2 linked regions of the Notamacropus eugenii genome follow. The protein of the gene in region 1 purifies or fractionates together with the protein of each later gene. This does not show direct contact. Links are inferred from orthologs where the notes say so. Each region holds a gene or a part of one and is shown on either strand. Other genes may lie near its edges.

Region 1 (11,039 bases):
CATGACACCTGGCCACCCTATCCTCCTAGATATACCAACCTCTAAATTGTTGTGACACCTCTCCCCTACCCCACGCCCAGTTCTGCTTCTATCTGACTTTGCCTTCTGTCCTCTTTGTGGTATCCTAGTCTAGGTAAGCCCCAAGGGTCCTTTTTTTCTGTTTCTACACTCTAAACCTTTGGTTTTAATTTTCTTCTCTACAGAGATAATGTTCTTTTTTGTTACATTTTTATATATATAAGTTAGGCAGGAACTGTTTCTCTATCCCCCGCACCTATCACAGAGATTGGTCTGTAAGAGGAGCTTAAAAAATGCTGATTGACCGACAGTGTTACAAGATTGATAGATTGAGGACTGCTATGTAATTTATCTAGACATCAGCAAACTATATGCCAAAGTTCTTCACACTACTCTAGTGGACAAAAGAAGAGATGGAGGCTGGACAAATGCATAGTTAGGTAAATTCAGAAATGATTAAATAGTTGGAACTCCAAAAGTCATTAATGGTTTGATGCCAAATCTCTAGCGGAGTGCCTCAGAGATCTGTACCTGGCCCTGTGGGGTTCAACATATTTATCAGTGATTTGGATAAAGGCACAGAGGGCAGAGCTATCACACTTTTGGGTAACACAAAGCTGAAAGCTAGTGGTAGGCAATGGCAGCCAGCCATTAGCACAGTCGATAGAGCACTGGGCCTGGCATCAGGAGGACCTGAGTTCAAATCCAGTCTCAGATATTTACTAGCTATGTGACCCTGAGCAAGTCACTTCACCCTGTTTGCCTCAGTTCCTTATCTGTAAAATGAGCTGGAGAAGAAAATGGCAAACTACTCCTCCATCCTTGCCAAGAAAACCCCACATAGGGTCACAGAGTCAGGCATGACTGAAATGAATGAACAACACTAGTAGCTAACAGTGGACAGAGACACACTCCAAAAAATTCTCAACAGGACAGTTTGGGATCAAAATGAGTAAAGATGAAACATAATGGGGATAAAATGTAAAGTCTTGTACATGGGTTCCAAAAATCAACCTAAGGACAAAATTGGTGAATTGGAGCTATACATACCCAATCCATAGGCAGAAGTGGTTGATGAGGTGCGCATGGCCTCCTAAGAACTATATAAACGGGGGTTATTAACTTGACAGAAGGGAAATGATTTAATAATCTACATGGGATACGAAAGGATTGCAAACATAAAAGGACCGTAACCAGTTGTTTTCCACTCCATATAAAGGAAAGACAAAAATTTAAGGAGTAATTTAAGTTTGACAAATAGAAGAAATTTCTGACAGTAGCAAATGATAAACACTGGAAAGGGAAGGAGTTTTCTTTTTTCTAAAGGTCTTAAAAATGGAATACATTGGATTCTGGGTAGCTGGCAAAAATGTAGAATGTAAAGATCAAACAAATGTTTTGCCTATGTCCCACTTAACCTTACTCCCACTAGTCACTACTGTGCTCTTCTCCTAACTTGATGAGTGGGTTGTCATCGTGTATTCTTTCTTATTGGTCACATGCCCCAAAGCAACCAACCAGTCTGTCTTTAATCTGAGAGGTATAAGAGTCATATCTCTTTACTACGTTTTTAGTCATTACTAAATGTAAACAGTAAGAAAACTTGAAAAAGAGTTTTAAAACTCTTACCACTTAGTAATTTTTAAAACATTAATATGTTTCATGATAAATAAAAATCTTAATAAATGTAAAAAAAATAGAATACATTCTCATCTTTTTGGAATAGTTCCAATGCAGGAGTTGTACTGGACCATAGGTTCAAAATGAGTCAATGGTAGGATGTAACAGCCCCAAAAAGCTAGTTTGATTTTGGGACATATTAATATAAGTGTCTGGAACAAAGGAGATGATGCTCCTATTGAACTCTATTATGTTAAGACTGCCTCGAATGGGGAAGGGAGGGAAAAAATTTTGGAACTCCAAATCTTGTAAAAATGAATACTAAAAAATTGTCTTGTCATGTAATTGGGGGAAAAAACAGTATTGAAAACAAAAAAGTCTGCCTCTGGAGTATGGTACACATGGAAATGGCATTAGTAAGCGAGAGTTGAGTCCACAGGATGGCAGCGAGGGTGAGAAGAATGCTGGCTGGAAGGAACAGAAGACTTAGAAGGAAACATGAGGACTGTTTTCAAGCATTTGAAGGGCCATCCTATAGAAGAGAGGTTGTGTTTGTTTCACTTAGATCCAGGGCCAAAACTAGGAACAAGGAATAAAGTGTTCAGAGGCAGGCTTAGGCTGGAAAGAAAAACTGACTAATGATTATCCAAAAATGGAACAGATTGACTTATGGGCTGATGAATTCCCTTCACTGGAGGTCATCAAGCAGAAAATGAATGAAAACTTGGTTGAGGATATTACAGCAGAAATTCCTGTGCAGGCATGGACTGCATTAGATGACCTTTTGAGATTTCATCTTATTCTGAGAGTCTATGATTCTGCTAGCCAGTAAAGAACAGACCAGAAGATATCTTAAGAACAATCAATTAGCATTTATTAAGCAACTGCTCTCCTCCAGGCACCGAGCTGGGGATACGAATATAAAAGTGTCAAAGTCCCTACCCTCAAGGAGCTGCTGCTCTACCAGGAGGATGCCACACATTTACAGGGAAGTACATATAACACCGAAGCAAAATACACAGATATTTGGTAGAAGACACTAATAACTGGGAAAATTAGGAAATAACGAGGAAAGCACTGGAAAGAGCTAGGGGTTCTAAGACATAGAGGTTATGGAGGAAAGAATACCAGGCAAGAAGGGCAACTTGTACAAAGTCACAGAGGCAGGATATGAAATTTTGTATCTGTCATATACAGAGAACAGCAAGTTGGCTGGTTTGGTTGGCACATACAGAGTGAGGAAGAGTAGTGCATATTAAGAGTGAGCAACTTGGAAATAAGGGCTGGAGCCATGAAGGGCTTTTAATGCCAAACAGAGAAGTATGTATTTTATTCAAATGGCAATGGATAGCCACTGAAGCTTATTACTGAGAAAAGAAATGAAATAATGCTCAGATCTACACTTTAGAAACATCAATTCAGCAGTTGGGTGGAGAGGGAACAAAATGGATCCAGGGAGATCCATTAGGAGATTACTATAATTGTCCAGGCTACAGCTGAAGAGGGCCAGAACTGAGGTGGTTGTAATGGGAGGAGATAGAAAGGGACCAATGCTAGAGATGATGAGGAGGTCAAATTTTAGCCACTGATAAGACAGACAGAGAGAGATTTAGGAGTCAAAGGTGACTCCCAGGTTTTGTACTGGGATGACTGATGACAGTGATATCCTTAATCGATATAGTGAAGATGGATAGTTTTAGGGGAAAGATAATAGGTGCTGTTTTGGACACTAAATGTGAGATGCCAATAGAACACTAATGTATTATTAACATAAGAACATATGAATTACTATGCTTAGAGCCATAATATGTCCACTGAAGGCATAATAGGCACTTAATGTTTATTGAATGAATGAATGAATAACTTCATTAAATGTTTAATGATGACTGCTAGCAAATATTTTGTGGGTATAAAAAAGGCCCTAAGATACTGCAGCAAAAACCACCAGAGAATTTACCTGGGGTATAGGGTAGGATGTCAGGTGAAAGGATAAAGTAGTTAGATGAGTAGACTTGAGATGGAACTTCAAATACCATTTTTAGTTTTCTTTGTTTGAATTCTGTCAGCTGGAAACTCTCCATAAATAGGAAATAATTAAAAAAAGGAAAGCACTGGAGTTAAGAAGGGGTTACCCAGCACCCTTCTGATAAAGCTATAACTCTATGTGCTGGATCCTCAACGAACTTCAGTTTATTCTAGAATTCTAAACTAGGACAAAATAGCTCTTCCCAGAGTGGAAAGGAAAGGGAGAGGTCAACTGATATTGGATGACACTGAGAGAAAATGAAATGGATGGTTTCCATCCTAAATCAGACGTTCTGATAAGGATGACATGAGGACTAAATTTGTTACAAATTTAAGCTGCCTAATTACTTACAAAAAAAAAATGTGGACACGTAAATGGTTTATTCTAGCCTTCCTCTGTCCATTACACCTCTCCAAATGATGATACTAATGTAACTGTGATTCGTCTGGCACAGGCAGAAACATTGTATCGAGGAAAGGTCAAGGAGAAGGCTTGGCCAAGGTCAGGTACCGCAGGATTGATGATTAATACTCCGCCCCCTTCTCATAAAGGCGGAAACTCCGGGTTTTAAAAACAGAAATCAAAGAGAGGATAAAAGGGCGGTCCAAGCAAGCCAGGTAAACGGCTACCTGGGCAGGGGGCCATGACGATGATCCACCCAAGGTTAATGTAACGTCTCCAGGAAAGCACACTAAGACATTTAAGCAGTTCAGTGCAGCTGGCTCCCAGCGCAGCCTGGGCTGCGGAGTCCTCCCGGAGCAGCGCACCTGGTGAATTTCACTGTGTCGGGGGAGGGGGCTCGGAGACATTCCCCCATGACACGCACACACGCACACTGCCCAAACACCTCTTCTGGCACCCCAACCTCGCCTCCTCCTGCTCTCCTGGCCCAACCTCTCCTCGTGCCAGCTCCGCAGTTGGCCCTCGGGGAGGCCTAAAGGCAGCAACCACCCCCCGCCGAGGAAATAGCCACCACCAACCTGCCAGGAAACACTGAGACCGAGCCACATTCCGGGCCAGGAGCCACCCGTGCCGCACTACGGGCGCCGCCATCATGGAACGTACCAAGTATAAGGCCAGCGCAGGAGCCCTACCGTAGGGTTTTCCTGTCTCTTCCTCTACGTCCTCCGGCCCTCCAGAGGTGCCGAGGGAGAAGAGGGTGGGTGTGGCTCGGAGGCGGCAGCTCCTCCCTACTTCCTGCACTTGGTACGGTCCGGAGGAGAGCGTGGGGGTGGCGTCAGAATGGCCGCTGTGTCTCGAAGTTCGAATAGAATCCTGCTGGCCACCGGGCCCCGTTCCGCGACCCGCGGCGTGCTGCTGGGGCTCGCGCCCGGCTGGGCCCTCGGAGGTACCCGCGGCTCTGCGCGCGGCTTCTGTCCTCGGGACGCGGGAGGGTTGGGCCTGGGGTAGAGCGGAGTTGGGGCCGACACTTGTTACAAAGTAACCTCCTGTCCCCCGCCCCCTCCCCGCGAGGTGCGGACGCCGATCGAACCTCTCTGAACGGCCGGAGTCCTCCCAGGAAGGCCCGGAAAGTGCCCGGGCGTTTGCTGCAGCCCCAGATCGGTCTCGAAGTGACTCCTAGGCCCCGGGGGGGTGGTGCCCTGAGGTGCCCTGACGGGTCTGGGCAAGGCTCCGAGGGCCCCCTTTTAAATCCGGAGAAATCTATGAGCCCAAGGACGGATGGCAAAATATAGTTTGCTTCGTATATGTTTGTTTGCATACCATCTCCCCCCGTGAAGTTGTAAGCTCTTTGAGGGCAGGGGAAGTTTTTTTGCCCTTTTTTGTATCCTGGCGCTTGCTTAACACCTAAGCCCCTGGCACTTAGTAGGTACTTCATGTTAATTGATTGATAAAGATGCAAATCCTTGAGTTAGGTAAACCACCTCTAGTGACCCCATGGACCTTTTCTAGGGGGAACTTGTATACATAGGCTATGGTAACATTTTTTTTCCACGTGGAGGGAAAGGAGGATGTATACATATAATACGTATATATAGGTACACACACATATACACTGAGCGCTTGGCAAATATCCCATTGGATCCTCACAACAACCGTGAGAGTGCTGTTTAATTATCCCCTTTTTACAGCTGAAGAAACTGAGGTTGTGGCTTGTCCAGGGTCACAAAACTTGGATAGATCCACTTAGTTAAAGGAGGATGGGGGGACGGGGAATTTTCAAGAGCTTGTGTGGTGCTTATTGATTTAAAGTTGGAAGGGACGGACCTTAGAAGTCTAGTACAAACTCCTTCATCCGCAGATGAGGAAACAGGCTAAGAGAAGGTAAATGACTTATGGAGATGCCCAGCATCATCCACAGATGTGTGGCAGAACTGGGACTTGACCACAGGTCCTCTGACTCTGGAGAACCCCAACAATGCCACCTTTGATGGCCTCTAAGGATTTATGGCAGGAAAGGATGGGAGAGAACGTCTGCTCATTTTCCAGCTGAGAAATGGAGGCCTAGAGACCCCTAGCTTGCCCAAGATCACCCTGTGGTAACTAGCTCAGCTGTATTCAGTCAGCTCTTAGGACTCTACATCCATTTTTCTCTCTGGTACACCTGGCTTCCTAACTGTTGGTGTTTGTATAAGGAACTGTAGAGGTGGAGAGTACAAGTATTTTTCCCATTTTGCAGGTTAGACAATTTGCCAAGGGAATATCTAATAAATGAGGATGTTTAGTTGTGTCCAATTCCTGGTGACCCCGTTTGGAGTTTTCTTGGCAGAGATACTGGAGTGGTTTGCCATTTCCTTCTCCAACTCATTTTACAAATGAGGATACTGAGGCAAACAGAATTAAGTGACTTGCCCAGGGTCACCCAGGTAGTAAAGTGTCAGAGGCCAGGTTTGAACTCTCATCCTCATGACTGTGGCCCTCGATCCACTGCACCAATAATTGACTTGACATGGACTCAAAACCAGATCTTCTAACTCCAAGTCTAGGGCTTGTTTGCACTACAGTCTTCTCTTTTGACTAAGATCTTTCCAGTCCTTCTTACGTATGACATTTTGCCACTAGACAGATCTAAGAATTCTATAGAAAAGATCTCATCGCCTCTGCTCTGTTTTGCGGCTTCATTACACCTCCCTCCCCTCCTCCATCCAAGGAACCCCAAATAGAGAACTGATAAGTATCAACCAAGTTTACCAGACTACCTCTACTGGTCCCCAGTTCTTCTTCCTCATTACCTTGTAGAAGGAACCTGGGCTCCTTTCAAAGGTTCTGCCATTGTAGCTCATGCTCTGACCCACCCACCCTGGAAGGCTTGGAGTAAAGGCCTGGTTCCTGACCATTATAGCTGGGTTTGGAGAGGCTCATCAGATATATACAAAATGAAGGCTCGGTGATTTGGGGAGTTGTGCTCTAGCAATGGAGGTGATTAAGAAAGTCCTATTGTAGAAAATGATATGAAGGAATCTAGGCTTCTAGGAAATGCAGGTAAGGAGGACATACATTTCAAGCGTGGGTAGCCTGTGCTGTGTCTAGAGGCTGCGTATGAAGGACAGCCAGAATACCAGTTTATTTGTACCACAGGACATGGGAAGCTAAGTTGGAGACAAGTCGGTTCGTAAAGGTCTATACTGCCAAAACAAGGAAAGTTTATTGAGTTAGAGAGAGGGTTAGGCAGGTGGAGACACATTTGCAACTGGTTTAGGAAAATTATTTTGGCTGTGGTGTAGAGGATGTGCCCCTGGGCCTTTGGAGGTCCCCTCCATGCTGGGTTTCAGCCTCAGTGTCCTCGTTTGTGGATAGGAGGAATTGGAGCAGGTAACCTCCATGGTCTCAATTCCAAATCCATGAGCATCACACAAGCTCTTGAAAATGACCCCCAAAATCCTCCTTTCAAGGCAGCGAGGTGGTTAGCTAGGAGCAGGAGAGGGAAGAGCCTTGATCTAGGGAGACCAGTTACGAGGCTCTTGGAATTGGCTGGGGCAAGAGATGAAGAGAGCCAGTGGTACGAAGGAATAAGGTACATAAAGTCAGTTTGCTTTTTGGCTTCCTGCTCATTTATGTCTTTGGGTGAGAAGATTGAATGTCGTACAGTATATTTTTTCACAGTCCCTTTTTGTGAAAATAAGACAACATTGATGTACTCATACCTGACTCATAGGTGATCCTACCTCAGGGCTTAGAGTTAGCTTGTCTGATTCTCATAATATCATGGGCTTATTGTTACATATTGTCCCTAAAATTTTAAAATTCCCTAAGCAGAGAAAGCAAAATGTCAAATTACACTAAAATGGTAATTTTTTTTTTTTAACAGAGGTAAGGTCCTAAGGCCTGATGTGTTTTCTCGGTGACTGTTAGATACCTGTGTGTTTGCTTTACACATACACTATATTACTGGACAGTACAGTTTAGAAATGATCAAATTTTGAGGATTATATATGGCTGTTTGGTGAATAGCCCACCAAACCATATCACAAAATCTAGATGGAGAATGACAAGAATCGTCACCTCTAGTGTTCTCTAGAGTTGAAAGAGACCCCATAAGCCAACTATTCCAATTCCTTCAATTTATAATTTTTTTTTTTTTGAGAAAATAGTACTTGAAAAGTCAGGTGACTCATCAGATGTCATATGTTTGGTAAATGGCACAACCAGATTTGAGCTCTGGTCCTGTGGCAACCAGTTAACCCTTTCCACTGCTTCCTAAGGAGGAAAGCAAAAAGAGAAAGGGAAAGCAGGAAGAGAGAGGCGGAAGAAAAATGGAAAGGAAAAAGGAGAAGAGGTCTAGAAGCAGTTATTAAACACCTACTATGTGTCAAGCACTTTACTAAGGATACAGAAAAAGTCAGAAGCAATTCCTGTCCCCCAGCTCACAGCCTAAAAGGGGAGACACCATGGAAACATCTATATATGAACAAGATATATCCAGGATAGACTGGAAATAATCAACAGAGGGAAGACACTGGCATTAAGGGGGCCTGGGAAAGTCGGTAGAGGTGAATTTGGAGGAGGGGCTTAAAGGAACCCAAGAGGCAGGGATAAGGAGTGAAAACAGCCCAGCTGTGGGATGAAAACACTTGCAGGAGTGAGATTTTTGGAGAGATTGGAGTGCCTTGGCCAAGAGGCCAGTGTCACTGGATCACATTATCCCTGGAAGGAAGTAGGGGTGTGAGAAGATTGGAAAAGCGGAGGGGGCCAGGATATAAAGAGTTTTGAACACCAGACATAGTGTTTTATTTGATCCTGAAAGTGAGAGGGAATTGAGTTTATTGAATGGGGTATGTGTTGTGAGCTGGGGCAGCTAGGTGGTACAGTAGACAGTAAGCCTCCTTCAAATACCTTCAAATCTGGTCTCAGACACTTACTAGCTGGGTGACTCTAGCCAAGTCACTTGACCCCGATGGCCTCAATTTTCTCAAAATGAGCTGGAGAAGGAAATGATAAACCAGTCCAGTTTTTTTTTCCAGGAAAACCCCAAACGAGGTCACAAAGAGTTGGAGATGAGTGAAACAACTGAACATCAACATGGTGTGATCTGGTCAGGATTTTGCTTTAGGAAGATCACTTTGATAACTAAGTGGAGGATAAACAGGAATGAGGAGACACTTGAGGCAGGCTAGTAATTCAGTATTTCAGAAAAACCTGGGAAGACTTATATGAACTGATGCAAAGTGAGGTGAGCAGGACATCGTGTACAGTAACGGCAGTACTGTACGATGACTGACCCACTGTGAATGACTTAGTTGTTCTCAGCGTGTGAGACAATTCTGAAGGATTTATGATGAAAAATGCTATCTACCTCCAGAGAAGGAACTGATGGAAGTCTGAGTACAGATGGAAGCATACATTTTTCACTTTATTTTTCCTGTTTTTTCTTTTTCTTTTTTTGGTCTATTTTCTCTTGCAACATAGACAATGTGGAAATATGTTTTGCATGACTGAAAAAGAAAACACAGACCAAAAAAAGAAAAAAACAGGAAAAAAGTTCAGAAGTTGGCCTCAATTGATCCCTTCTCTCTGATCGCTTACAGCATTATTTTCAGATGCCTGATTTTTTCTTGCCACAGATTGTCTGTTCCAAATAACCATCTGCCAGAATTATTGGCGATTGTCACTAAAGAAATGCACACAGAAGGTTTTGTGTCTTTTTTCTTTCATCCGTGTTTGCATGGGATTTGGTCTCATCTGGAGATGGCTAGCCCAGCTGGAGTAGGAAAGTAACTCTCAGGGACTCACCATGGGGAATGGAAGTGGGAAAATGCTGGATAGGAACCAGAAAACCAAGCTTCAAGCCAATTTGGTGACTGAATAAACTTTGTAACTCTGAATAACTTACCTCAGCTCCATCATCAGTAAAATGAGAATAATTTGTATTTACCCTGGCTGTAAAGGTAGGGGAGATGATGGATGAAGAGCTTTGGAAACGTAACATGCTGTGCAATTGCCGATGAACAATGTTGCCCACAAATTCCTTTGCTGTTTTATTTTCCTCTCAAACTTTTAGGAAAACGCTATCTGCTTAGAGATGATGTTGTGAAACTGCAAGAATTCCAGCAGATGAAGGTGGCGGTTTCCTCTCGATTTCATGGCAAAAAAGGTAATGGTGATGGTTCAGTTAAGCTCGTTCTCCCCATAGAATGATGATGATGATAGCTGGCATTTTTGTAATGCTTACTATGTGCCAGGCACTGTGCTTTCAAAGCCCCTTGTAATTGGGTCCTATTTTACCTCTACCTCAGCGTTTTTCATTATTCCCCAACGTGTACCCACTTCTTTGATCCAGCTGGTCTTACTGTCCTCTCCCTATGTCATGGTCATTCCTGCCTCCATTTCTTTATCATGTTCCTGTCAACAGAATTTTGACTGGACCGATCCCTAATCTGGGAATGGCGAGAAGTGAACAGAGCAGACTAGAGGCAGGTGTGTCAGGACACAGATAAGTGGTATAATTTATTTCAGAGTGAGGAAAATGACTTGTAAACAAGGAAACCCCCACCCCCCCAAGTTGGAGGGCTTAACATGTTGGGGTACAGGCTATGCTTATATATGTAAGCGGGCCGGACTATGACATAATCATTCTTAGGTGTTGAATAGCAGTTTCCCATGGCAGACTCATGGGTGGACAATGCAGGCATTCTTGGGTCCTTTAGGAACAGTCTCTAAGTTGATTGTCTCACGTTGGTGTATAGTACCAGATTCGGTTCACTTAGCTGTTACAAGAACAGCGATTGTGAGCAAGTCAAGCAAGGGTCTGGATGGCTGTCAGGTCCCTGGGCAGTAGGGGGCAGTGAACACCTGGTGCTTGGTCAAAGCAATATACTTTACTAGAGGGTGAGATCATCCAGAGCACAAAACATTGTTGCTGTGCCAAGCTCAGGGCATAGACTGCTTGCTGGGCCTTACTCTTGGGAAACAGGGTGTT
Region 2 (11,318 bases), on another chromosome or scaffold:
TAGTAGCAATTACACTACCTAGTAGAGTGCTCTAAACAGAGTAGTCCTTTAATAACTGAAAGAATGCATCATCATTAACCCCCCCTCCCCCACAAATTTAACATTTTAAAAGCTAGCTCGCATGATGGTCATTTCCCAGGAAATGTTTCCTAGACTGATAGGGGAGGGGAGGTGGGAAGTAGGGAAGGGAGAGTTGAAGGGCAGTGTCAAAGTGAAAGTAGGGAGAGATAATCCACTGAGTTTCTGAAGCTGAGACTCTCTTACCTCTAAAAGCCCCTTTCAGCTTTAGAATTCCATGACTTAAAGTCAAACATCTTGACAGACTTGATAAACAAAAATAAATTCATTCTGCCATTACCAACTAACTTCATGGCGCAAGTTATGGATTCACAGATAAAAGGATGATTTACATCACTATCTGGTACATAATGAAAATCTATACAGCTAGGTGGCTTGGTAGATAGAACACTGGGCTTCGGAGTCAGGAAGAGTTCAAATCTGTCCTCAGACATTTACTAGCCAAGTGACTCTCAGCAAGTCTCTTAACCTTTAACTTAGTTTCTTCAACTGTAAAATGGGGATAATAACAGTACCTACCTTACCACCTTGTTGTGAGGATCAAATGAAAGAATATTTTTTAAGGGGTTTACCAGTGTTTGACACATAGTAGTTGCTATAGTCTTTCTACCAATTCTCTCTACACACCCCCTCCCATATCGATATACAATGATTACTTTTTTATTTTATGCTGACATCCAACACCATCAAATATTTGATATTATTTAGCGCTATTTCTGCCTAGTTTTCCTTCCAAAAAGGGAAAACATAATATATAATATGTATATATAATATATATCCTCCCCTTGACTCACACCATCCCCCTAAATGTATAAGTGAGATGTTCACTGGGAATTCCAGGTTCAGAGTTACTTGCCTGTGGGGAGAAAACCACATTTGCATATTCTATAATACCTGGTGGAACTAAGTCCAAAGGTAAGGGTTTTTTGCCCAACATTTTCCCTCAAATTCATTTTTGCTAGCTTAGACAGAAGTCTCACTGTTTTTGACCCCTTCTAAATGAAACAAAATACATACGCAATTTTCTTTTACAATTCCAGGGGTATCATAAAACCAGTGAACATCTTTCACTTCTTGAGGTGTCAATTCAACATGCATAGTGGGTGCATCGTGTATTATTCTCGGAGGCTCATTCTCCATGTCAAATGCGAGTGAATCAGCATCAAACTCGAAAGTAGGTTCATCATTTTTTGAATAACAGAATGTTTTTCCAACTCTTCCTACAACAAGAGAGTAGTTTGAAGTTATTGATCTTTAAAATGTTTGAATTTTTACCTTTTATACATGTGCATTCCATTCAGTTTCTACAAAGGGACAAGGGGCAGCTAGGTGGTGCAGCCGATTGAGCACCAGTGCAGGTGTCAGGACGACCTGAGTTCAAATCTCACCTCAGACACTTGACACTCACTAGCTGTGACTTTGGGCAAGTCACTTAACCCTAATTGCCTCATCCTGGGTCATCTCCAGTCATCCTGATGAATGTCTGGTCACTGGATTCATATGGCTCTGGAGGAAAAGTGAGGCTGGTGACCTGCACAGCCCTCCTTCATTCAAAACAAAGTCAAGTGCAAGTCATGTCATTATTTCTCTGATGGCACGGTCTTCTTCGGCAACAAAGGACGAACACACAGACACAGGGACTAAGTCACAGAAATAATGACAGGTAGGTGGATACTTTAGGGCAAGCCATTTAATCTCTTCCCTGGATCTATTTTTCTTCATCTGTAAAATGAGGAGGTCAGACTAAATCCCTTTTTAGCTCTAGATAGAAAATAGTACTATGCAGGAGTTTGGCAGCATATGGCATCAGTACTACAGGATGATAAATGAATTTAGCATAGAATCACAGATTTAGAGCTGGAAGGGACATCCAGAGTCAGTAGGTGGCAGAGGAAAGCGTTAAAGGAATTGAGAAGTCAGCATAAACATTAATATTTTATGTGCAGTTGCATATATAAGAATTCAAACTGAGACTGAGTAGCAATGAAGGATCAGAAACACAACAGCTCTCAGCATAACTTGGCAGCATCACCGATAGCAGGAAAAGGAATCTGAGTCAGTATTTGGGCACAACCTGGAAATGACAATTTTTACTTCTTGGCAAGGCAACTGATTCAACTGACAACCCTACTATGCCACGCCCACTCCCCTCAAGAAACCAGAAACAAATTCTCCTGTTTTTCTGAATGTCTTGCCCAGGTGCGCTTTTAAACAGTAGTTTTAACTACAGCACTGGGTCTCAGAATAGGTAGAGGTTGTCCGGATCATCCTGGGTTCTGATTTCATGTTCCAGGGCACAGGATCTGAAAGGTGGTTAGTCCACGGTCTGTTCGGGTACTCACCGACTAAATAACCCTGCTTTTTCATCTGACTAAGATGCTTCTGCTCTTGCTCAGTAAGGTCATCTTCACTTTTAGCTGCTTCTTCTTTAAGTCTCCTGTTCCTTTCAAACATTCTGTAAGGAGTAGGGTTGCTAATAGGAAATTTCAGGAGATTTAAGGTTGTTCCTGAAAGATCAAAGCACGTGTAAATTTTAACTGTGATGAAGAAAATAAAATGCAATGTATTTTCGTGCAGTCTTAATAAAAACAGAAACAAAAAGCTGCCTGTCTTCCCTTTTCCCAGTGCTTGGTGACTCCAAGCATTCGTCATACTGGCTAGGGAAGACAGGGAGGGTACATTAAGACCCTGAAAACATGGGCTCTGTCTTGCCTCGTGGGGATGCATGAAACCAGTCAAGAAACCTTAAAGAGGAGTAAGGACCCCAGGACCCAAAAGGGGTTGAGCGGAGAAAAGCTGGAGTTCACCAGGATGGTCCCGGACACCTCCTCGTGGGCAGACGAGGAAGCACCTGGACAGCAAGGGCGGGATGGGGGTGGGGAGGAAGCTTCAATTCGCTTCAACCAACGTTCAATAAGCTTAGGCTGCGTGTCAGGCACCGTGCTAGGAGCTAGGGGTAACAAAGAGGCAAGAGACGGCGTCCGCGCTCCGGGAGCTCAGTCTGACGGGGAAGACAACGTGCACACACACAAAGCAAGGACATGGAGGCCGAGCGGGGGGGCAGAGCGTGCGGGAGGCTTCCCGCCGGGGCTCACCCGGCCAGGGGGAGATGGTGGCCCGGTCGATGGCGTCGGCGCCCTTGGCGATGCAGTAGTCCGAGTGCAGGAGCGCGTTGAAGAGCGTGGACTTGCCGGCGTTGGTGGAGCCCACCAGGTAGACGTCGCCCCGGTAGCGCCAGGAGCGCTGCAGCGCCGAGATCATCTCCTCCACCCCGTAGCCCGTCTTGGCGCTGAGAAGCAGCACGTCCTGGACCACACAGCCCGGCCTGGCCGGCCCGGCCCCCGGAGCCCCGGCCCCCGTCCTCTTCGCCTTCCTGGGCGCCGGCTGCAGGCCGGCTCGGGCGCATTCGTCCCACAGACGCTCCCGGAGCCTCCGCAGGTAGCCCGGGCCGTCGGCGGGCAGCAGGTCCACCTTGTTGCCCAGCACGATCAGCTGCTTGGGCCCGAGCAGTGCGGGCAGGTCCGGCAGCAGGGGGTCGGGCAGGTCGAGCACGTCCACCACGTAGAGCACGAGGGCCGGCCCCGGGCGCCGCAGCGCGGCGTGCACCAGCTCTCGGTAGCGCTCCCGGCTCACGCGCACCCGCAGGGCCCGCTGGTGGTGCACCAGGAGCCAGCAGCGCTGACACACGGCCCGGGCCAGCCCGCCCGCCTCGGCCCGCGCCTCCAGGCTGCGGTACTTCTCGCTGGGCAGGTAGCCCGGCACGGCGGGGTCCTGGCAGTGCAGCTCCGCCCCGCAGCCCGAGCAGCTCACGCCGCTGGCCGGCACCGCGGGGTCGGGGCTCCCGAACACCGGGCGCAGCCCCTTCTCCCGCGTCTTCTTCCGCTGCTGCGCCAGCCGCCGCTCGTCCCGCAGCAGCTGCTCCCGCTCCTCCTCCTCCTGCCTCCGCCGCAGTTCGGCCGACACGGACGGCTCGACGTCGGGGTCCGCCTCGGGGACGTACTCCGGGAACACGAAGGTCTCCTCCAGCCGGCTCGGGTCCACCATCGTCCCCGCGGCCGGCACCCCCCTTCCTCTTCTCGCTTCCTGGTCCTGCTGCCGCCGCACCGCGGAGAAGACAGAGGAGGCGGCCGGCCGGCCCGCGGGGGGCCGCGACCCGGGCGCGCCATGGCACGTGAAGAGAGGCGCGGCCCCTCGGCGCCACAGGCGCAGCAGCCGGCACGAGCAGCTCCCGGGAAGCATGGGGACGGAGGCGCCGGGAGGGGCGGGGCGGGCACGTGGCCGCGACACCGCCCCGTACGGTGGCTCGGGAGGGACTGATCGCCCCCCTCCGTCCTCCGCTGGGGAAAAGGCGCTCTCACGTATTAACCTTTCTTCAGTTTGAAAATCATGGCTGGCCATGAACGTAGGGGTAAAATTTAATAAAATTAAAAGCAAAAATTAGAATAAAAAATTCATAAAAGCGCATGTAAAATGGATCAATGTAGGTTCCAGGTTAAGTTAAATTCGTGGTTTTTCGCTTCTATCCTCAGGTCCCCAAAGCGCTTACAATATCGCCACCTAAGCATTAGCATTTCAATCTCTCATTCCTTCCTGCTGAAGCAACAGGCCTAAAGTCACTTTCCTCCCGGCTTTAGGCCTCCTGCCCCCAGACACCTCGGCAGACCTAGATACATTCTTTCCATCTAAAGCACGCTAGGTTGCTGGAGGCGCGAATCCAGCCCGCGCGCAAGCCAGCCCCTACGTAGCCCCGCCTCCTCCGCAGGCCGCATGCGCAGTGGGAAGGCGAAACGGCCCGCCCACTCTGCTCAGCGCCACCACAGGACGCGGCGCGCTCGACCTCTGGCTGAGCGGAAGTCGGAGCGGGAACCGGAAGGTTTCGGAGCTGAGGAGCTGGATCGAGCCGCAAAGAGTGCCGGGAACGCCGGAAACTCAAGCTCTCTCGAGTTTGCTGGTCTGTGGCTGCGTCGTCTGCTCTTTTCTGTTCCTTAATTTGGGAGGAATATTGAGAATTATTTGTCAAGATGTACGACGCGGACGAGGGTAAGAGGCCCAGTTAAGAGCTCCTCCCGGACAGGGCCGAGGAGGGGTGTTTTGTATTCTTTTAGTTACCCACCTTCTCCAGGATGCCACTTGTAACGTTGAGGCCCGGGCAGCCCTGAGGTCCATGATACTTAGTGAATAGAGCTGGCGGTCCTGGTGCTTGTGGGTCTGTTACGCGAGAGGCCAGCCTCGTGTCTCCTAACGTGACGCACCCTCCCGTTTTGCCTTTAGTGGTCACTTTGATTTTATTAATGCATCTTTGTTTTACTTTGCATTCGTCCCTGAATGATGGTCCTTAGGTGTCGTTACCCTAGAGCCCAGCCTAAGGTTTCCTAACCTGTCTGCTCCTCCCTCGCGTTTTTAGTTGTCATCTTAATTTTATTAATGAATTCCTTTTTTTTTTTTAACTTTACATTCGTCCCTGGGTATCGTCCCATCCCTTCGTTACCCAGCGAGACATTCCTTGTAACAGGTTTTAAAAAGCGATTCAGCAGATCGAACGCTTTGTTTGACTGTATAGACAGAATTCTCCACCCCTAGTTCCCCACTAATTGAAGGAAATAGGTGAATTTTTTCACCTCTTTTTAGGGTCTTCTCACGTTTCTATATTAAGTTGCCTTTTCTGTAAAATGAAGGGGTAGGATAAGATGGATTCTAACGTTCCTTCCAGATAGAAGTCTACAGAACTAGGAACATCATGCGTTTTAAAAAAAAATTTTCCCCCAATTACATGTAAAATTTTTAACATTAGTTTTTAAGATTTGGAGTTTCAAATTCTCTCCCTCCCACTCCTCTCCCCTCCCCAAGACAGCAAGCAGTTTGATATAGGTTATATAGGTTTAACCTCTATGTGTTATATGTGGTTATGTTTGAAATGTATGTATGTGTTATGTACAGTAATGCAAAACATTTTCATAACATTTATGTAATGAAAGAAAATACAGACCTCCCCTCCCCACAAAAAAATAAAGTAAAAAATAATGTATTTCAGTCTGCTTTCAGACTCAGTTCTTTCTCTGGAGGTGGATAGGATTTTTCATCCAAAGTCCTTCAGAATTGTCTTGGATTTTTAAATTGATGGGAATAGCTAAGCCATTCACGATTTATCATCATTCAGTATTGCTGTTACTGTGTACAGAGTTCTGGTTTTGCTCACTTCATCCGCTTTCCATCAGTTCTCATAAGTCCAAGTTTTTCTGAAAGCATTCTGCACATCGTTTATTGCAGTACAATATTCCATCACATTCATATACCACAGCTTGTTCAACCATTCCTCAGTTGTGGGGTAACCCCTCGATTTCCAATTCTTTGCCACCATAAAAAGAGCTGCTGTAAGTGTTTTTGTACATATATGTCCTTTTCCATTATTAAAAATAACATCTTTGGTATGCAAACCTAGTAGATCTATTACTGGGTCAAAAGATATGCACAGTTTTATGACCCTTTGGGCATAGTTCCAAATTGCTTTCCAGAATGTTTGAAAAAGTTCACGATGCCACCAGCAGTGCAGCGGTGTCCCAGTTTTCTGACCTCCCTACCAGCATTTTGTCATTTTCCTTTTCTGTCATATTAACTAATCTGATAGATGTGAACCAGTATCTCAAGAGTTTTAATTTGCCTTTCTCTAGTTAACAGTGATTTAGAGCACTTCTTTTGTGTGACTATCGATAGCTTTGATTTCTTCATCTGAAAACTGCCTGTTCATATCCTTCGACCATTTATCAAATGGGGAATGACTTATGTTCTTGTAGATTTGATTCAGTTCTCTATATATTTGAGAAATGAGACCATTATCAGAGAAAATTGCTCAAATATTTTTAGGAACATCATTCTTGAACAACATTCACTTGAGGTTTTTTTGTCCTTTTTGTATTTTCACAGTGCTGTACTTTGTTTTCCTGGTTCTGCTTGATGCACACAACGCCATTTTACATGTCTTCCCATCCTCTGAATTTGTATTTTGTCTTTTATAAAAGGTTCAGTCATTTTGTTCTCTTCATGTGTGTAATTTTTTAGCCATTCCTCGGTTGATAGGTATTAATTTCTTTTCCAGTTCTTTCTCATCTGATCTCATCATTTAGCTTTGTTACCATTGTGCTTACCTACCCTCATTCTCCCTTCTTGGTATTTTGCAAATGCATGAAAGAAGAAAAAAGGAATTGTTATATCTTAAGAATTGGGGATATAGATAGAAATAATGAGGCAGACCCTGTTCTCAAGGAATTTAAACTTTATTTGGGGTAGATAACACATCTGCAAATTCAGCTTTGGGGTGATTGGAAGGGCCAAGAAGTCCCAAAGGTGCATCAGCAGATGGATGATGGCAAAGCCTGGGGTGCTTAGGCTGCTCCAGCAGGTCAGATTAGAGTCACCAAGGAGTTCGGAAGATGTAGCAGCAGGATAGATAGCAAGGCCATCTTACCACAAAACTTTGATTAATGAAAAAGCATTTAGTGTTTAATGTGTGCTAATACTGTGGCAAGATCTGTGAATATAAATTCAAAAATCTGAGAAAGACCCTGTAGTTACTGGTCTTATATTCTAATAGGGGATGATAACACATATAGGGGACTGATGTCCATGGAAGGGAGTCACAGGAATTGTGAATTGATTGATTAGGGAGTCATTTTACATACCCTTCCCAGAAGCCCTAGTATTATTGATTTGAAATTTAAAGCTAGTTTTTGGTTTTTTTTTTTACTAGTCTTTCTCCCTATCCTAATCACCATTCCTCCTCACACCTCTGGGATAACGTTGTCATTAACATGAAATCTTTATATTTTCACTCTGCAAGACATCTTTCGTGATACTTTTGAGCATGTTAGGCGAACATGTCTCCTTATGTTATACTTTCTTGATTAAAATTAAGGTAAACTGAGCCACAAAGCACCAAGCACACTCAACTTATTAGCAAAGCGTGAATTTTCCAGTAAACAAAGGCTCAACCTTTTCAGTTAGCTAAGACCTTGAACGAGGGCTGATAAAATTTTTATGGACAAAAGGAGGAGCCTCCAAAAACTAGAAGACTGGCAACATCATAGTGAAAACAATGTTAAATGCTGTAAATTTGGAATGCAAAAACCCTTCCTTTCATAGCGTTGCTAAGGAAAGTTCATTGGTGGTGTCCACTTGTATGGCTAATTGGTTTCACAGTGATAACAAACCAGACTTTTTTGAAGGACAGCCAGTGCTATAGAGGTAATAGACCAGACTCCCTGGCATCCACCTTCATCCTTCAAAGATAATTATTATCCTTGACATAAGAATAGAACAGTGATTTGATTAGCAGGAAAGCTGAACTTCTAACCTTAACTCAGAGATAGTGAGTGATTTATAGGAAAGCTGAACTTCCAAACTTAACTCAGACTCAAATGAAATGTGGCTTAGGTAGTTACACAAAATGTTGGTAGTGATACAGAATGAAATCAATTACAAAAGTGAATCAGTTTGATTTTCTTGATTTTCAGTACTTCATTTGATTTTGCCATTTAGTGGCTTATTGAGTAATGTTATCCTTAGTTACATTGATCGTATATTCATGTGTGATTTAATATACACATGGGAGACACCTTTCTGAGGAGGGCCTTTGTGCTACCTTTGGTATAACTTAGGCAAAATTTTCTTTTAAATCAGTAACACAATAGAGCCTTAAAGTTTTCTACACTTTTTCATTAGTTGTATGACCTTAAAGATGTAATGGAAAAGGTAATCTGAATTGTGTAACATTAAAGGTGTACTGTAGAAAATAATGTTTTGCATGAGAACTTTTCATTCAGGAAAGTATATACTATTTTCACACAATGATTGATGTTATCTTTAAAACTTTTCTTCAGGTTGTGTAATCATTGTAATGTTTTTCATTCTTTTTGAATGTTTTTTTCCAAGAGATAAAGAATCAGCACAGATTTCTTTTGTATATGAAATTAAGTCTAGCACGTTTTCCTGACTTAACCTTTTTTTAAAGTATCATTACCACTTATTCAAATACTACATTGAGTATTAATGTGGTGGGTTTAAATATCATATTCCACTGTTGTCGAAGTTAAAAAATGGCTGCATTTCTGCTTCATTTTGTGTTTTGGAAATCATAATATCATAGAGCTGGAAGGGCCTCTTCAAGGTCATCTGGTCCAAGTCCTTTATTTTTACAAATGAGGAAACTGAGACTCAGAAAAGTTAAGTGACTTGCCAAAAAACACATAGGTCCTAACTACACTTTTGCAATTGCTTCCAAATTAGTTTCTCTTTTCCCAGTTTCTCCCATCATCCCTCTATATAACTAACTTAACAAAATCGTCTTTATAAATCTAATCATTTCAGTCCTCTGCTCAAAAAGTTTTTGTGGTTCCCTGTTGTCTCTAAGACAAAATACAAACTTTAGTCTGCTGTGTAAAACATTTACTATCTGGATCTTACCTTCTTTTTCAGTACTATTTCATTCTTCAACAAGATGCTGTATTCTATCAAAACAGATCTGCTTGCTGCTCCTTAACCTCAGCACTCTATCTTTGGTGTCTGTGTATTTCCACAGGCAACATGTATACCAAGTTGATTTGAGACCGTGGGCTGTTTGGCTTTGTAGCCACAGTGCCTTCTACACAAAGATCAGAGAGGGACATTGCTTTAGGACCGTTTAGTATTGCTGCATCTTGGAAGTTGAGATGTTTTCTGAAGGCTCGTTTTCTTTACGCTGTTTTGTGAGTGATACTGCTCATAGCATTTGTACGCCATAATGTCTTACAGATGAGTTTGTACTCAGTTAAACTGGTGTTGTTTTTAGAGGCTGTGTAATTGCAACACCTCATCCTTCCTACCTTGGATCAGCTGCTTTCTGGGCTCTTTTGGACTGCCTAATTCATGACACTTTGACATAGGCTTGTTTGTTTAGGTCAGGTTGAAGTTGCTATAATGGTACAGTGTTTTCTCATCTTTATCCTTTTAAGTTAATATTTATTGTGATCTTCTAATCATTTAATGGTCTGACTGTAGATACAGTAGTAATTTTAGAATTAGTTTATATAAGAATTAGTCTTTATGTAGCCACAGTTCTTTCCAGTCTAGCCAGGCTGGCTTTTTTGCTGTTCCTCACAAAGTATTCCATCTGCCATACTTGTGCCATGTACAGACTGTCTCCTATGCCTGAAATACACTCTCTCCTCACCTTTCCCTCTTAGAAGCCCTAGTTTCTACAAAACCAGACCTTCGATGCTAGCTCCTACATGAAACCTCTCCTAATTTTTCTCCTTTGTCTAATGAAATGTCTTATTTTTGGTGTATACTTATATTTGTTTATGTTGTCTCCTCCATCAGAAGGTCATTCAGTAAACCATAAAACATTTGTAAAGTACCTACTATGTACCCTGTGGTAAGTTCTGGATACAAAAAGAGGCAAAAGACAATCCCTGTCCTCCAAGTTTCTTGGTGCATAAGGACTGTTTTCTTGATCTTTGTATCCCCGGTGCTTAGCACAGTACCTGACATAGAGTAATTAGTAGTAGTTATCAGTAATTACATGTTGATTGATTCCTGTCATATTGTTATGTTGCCATGTAACGTTTTCTACATCCAGCATTGTACGGTTGTCTTCCTGAAGAAATGTTCATAATATATAGACATATAATTTTTGGGTAGGAAGCAAGTCCTTGGCTACTTTCATTTCATTCTTGATTAATTTATAAATGAATGTTAAAAACACAAACCTTTAGTGAGTTGAGGATTATTTGTATATGATATGAGTGTGAGAGTGCATGCATGTTGTTTTATTAAGGGAATTGGCTTAGAAAATCAAGAAAAAAAGTTTAGGTCCCCTCCCCCAATTTAGCACTCTTTAAACTTTTGAGTTCCAAATTCTCTCCTGCCTGTCCCCTCCCCCACCCAGTGAGAAGTCAAGCAGTATGTAATCAGTTATACATGTAAAATTCTGCAAAGGATTTCCATATCAGCCATTTTTCACAAAAGCAAGAAAAATAAGGAAAATGAGAAAATTATACATCAGTTTGCATTTAGAGTTCATCACTTCTCTCTCTGGAAGTGGATAGCATTTTTTCATCATGAATTCTTTGGGAAAAAAGGTTAGTTTTAATTTTCAGAAATCTTGCTTTATTTACTCTGAAGGACAGCATTATATTATTGTACAGAAAAGTAATAAAGTATTTTGTGATTTTTCTTTGTAGATATGCAATATGATGAAGATGATGATG

Evidence for each region.
Region 2: the proteins of MRPS27 (region 1) and NOA1 purify together in Homo sapiens (co-immunoprecipitation; 3 studies listed by BioGRID and IntAct, counting the BioPlex papers as one, with this or other methods). This does not show direct contact. The link is inferred for Notamacropus eugenii from reciprocal best matches to the Homo sapiens genes MRPS27 and NOA1.

What each region holds. Positions count from the first base shown.
Region 1 is NC_092875.1:464,717,472-464,728,510, forward strand, and holds the start of MRPS27 (small ribosomal subunit protein mS27), read right to left. Parts: upstream 4,749-11,039; 5' UTR 4,721-4,748; coding exon 4,645-4,720; intron 1-4,644. Other genes in the region: PTCD2 (pentatricopeptide repeat-containing protein 2, mitochondrial), read left to right, coding at 4,907-5,012, 10,122-10,214. UniProt on the Homo sapiens protein: RNA-binding component of the mitochondrial small ribosomal subunit (mt-SSU) that plays a role in mitochondrial protein synthesis. Stimulates mitochondrial mRNA translation of subunit components of the mitochondrial electron transport chain.
Region 2 is NC_092877.1:108,359,195-108,370,512, forward strand, and holds the start of NOA1 (nitric oxide-associated protein 1), read right to left. Parts: upstream 4,586-11,318; 5' UTR 4,477-4,585; coding exon 3,174-4,476; intron 2,586-3,173; coding exon 2,421-2,585; intron 1,299-2,420; coding exon 1,096-1,298; intron 1-1,095. Other genes in the region: POLR2B (DNA-directed RNA polymerase II subunit RPB2), read left to right, coding at 5,100-5,118, 11,292-11,318. UniProt on the Homo sapiens protein: Involved in regulation of mitochondrial protein translation and respiration. Plays a role in mitochondria-mediated cell death. May act as a scaffolding protein or stabilizer of respiratory chain supercomplexes. Binds GTP.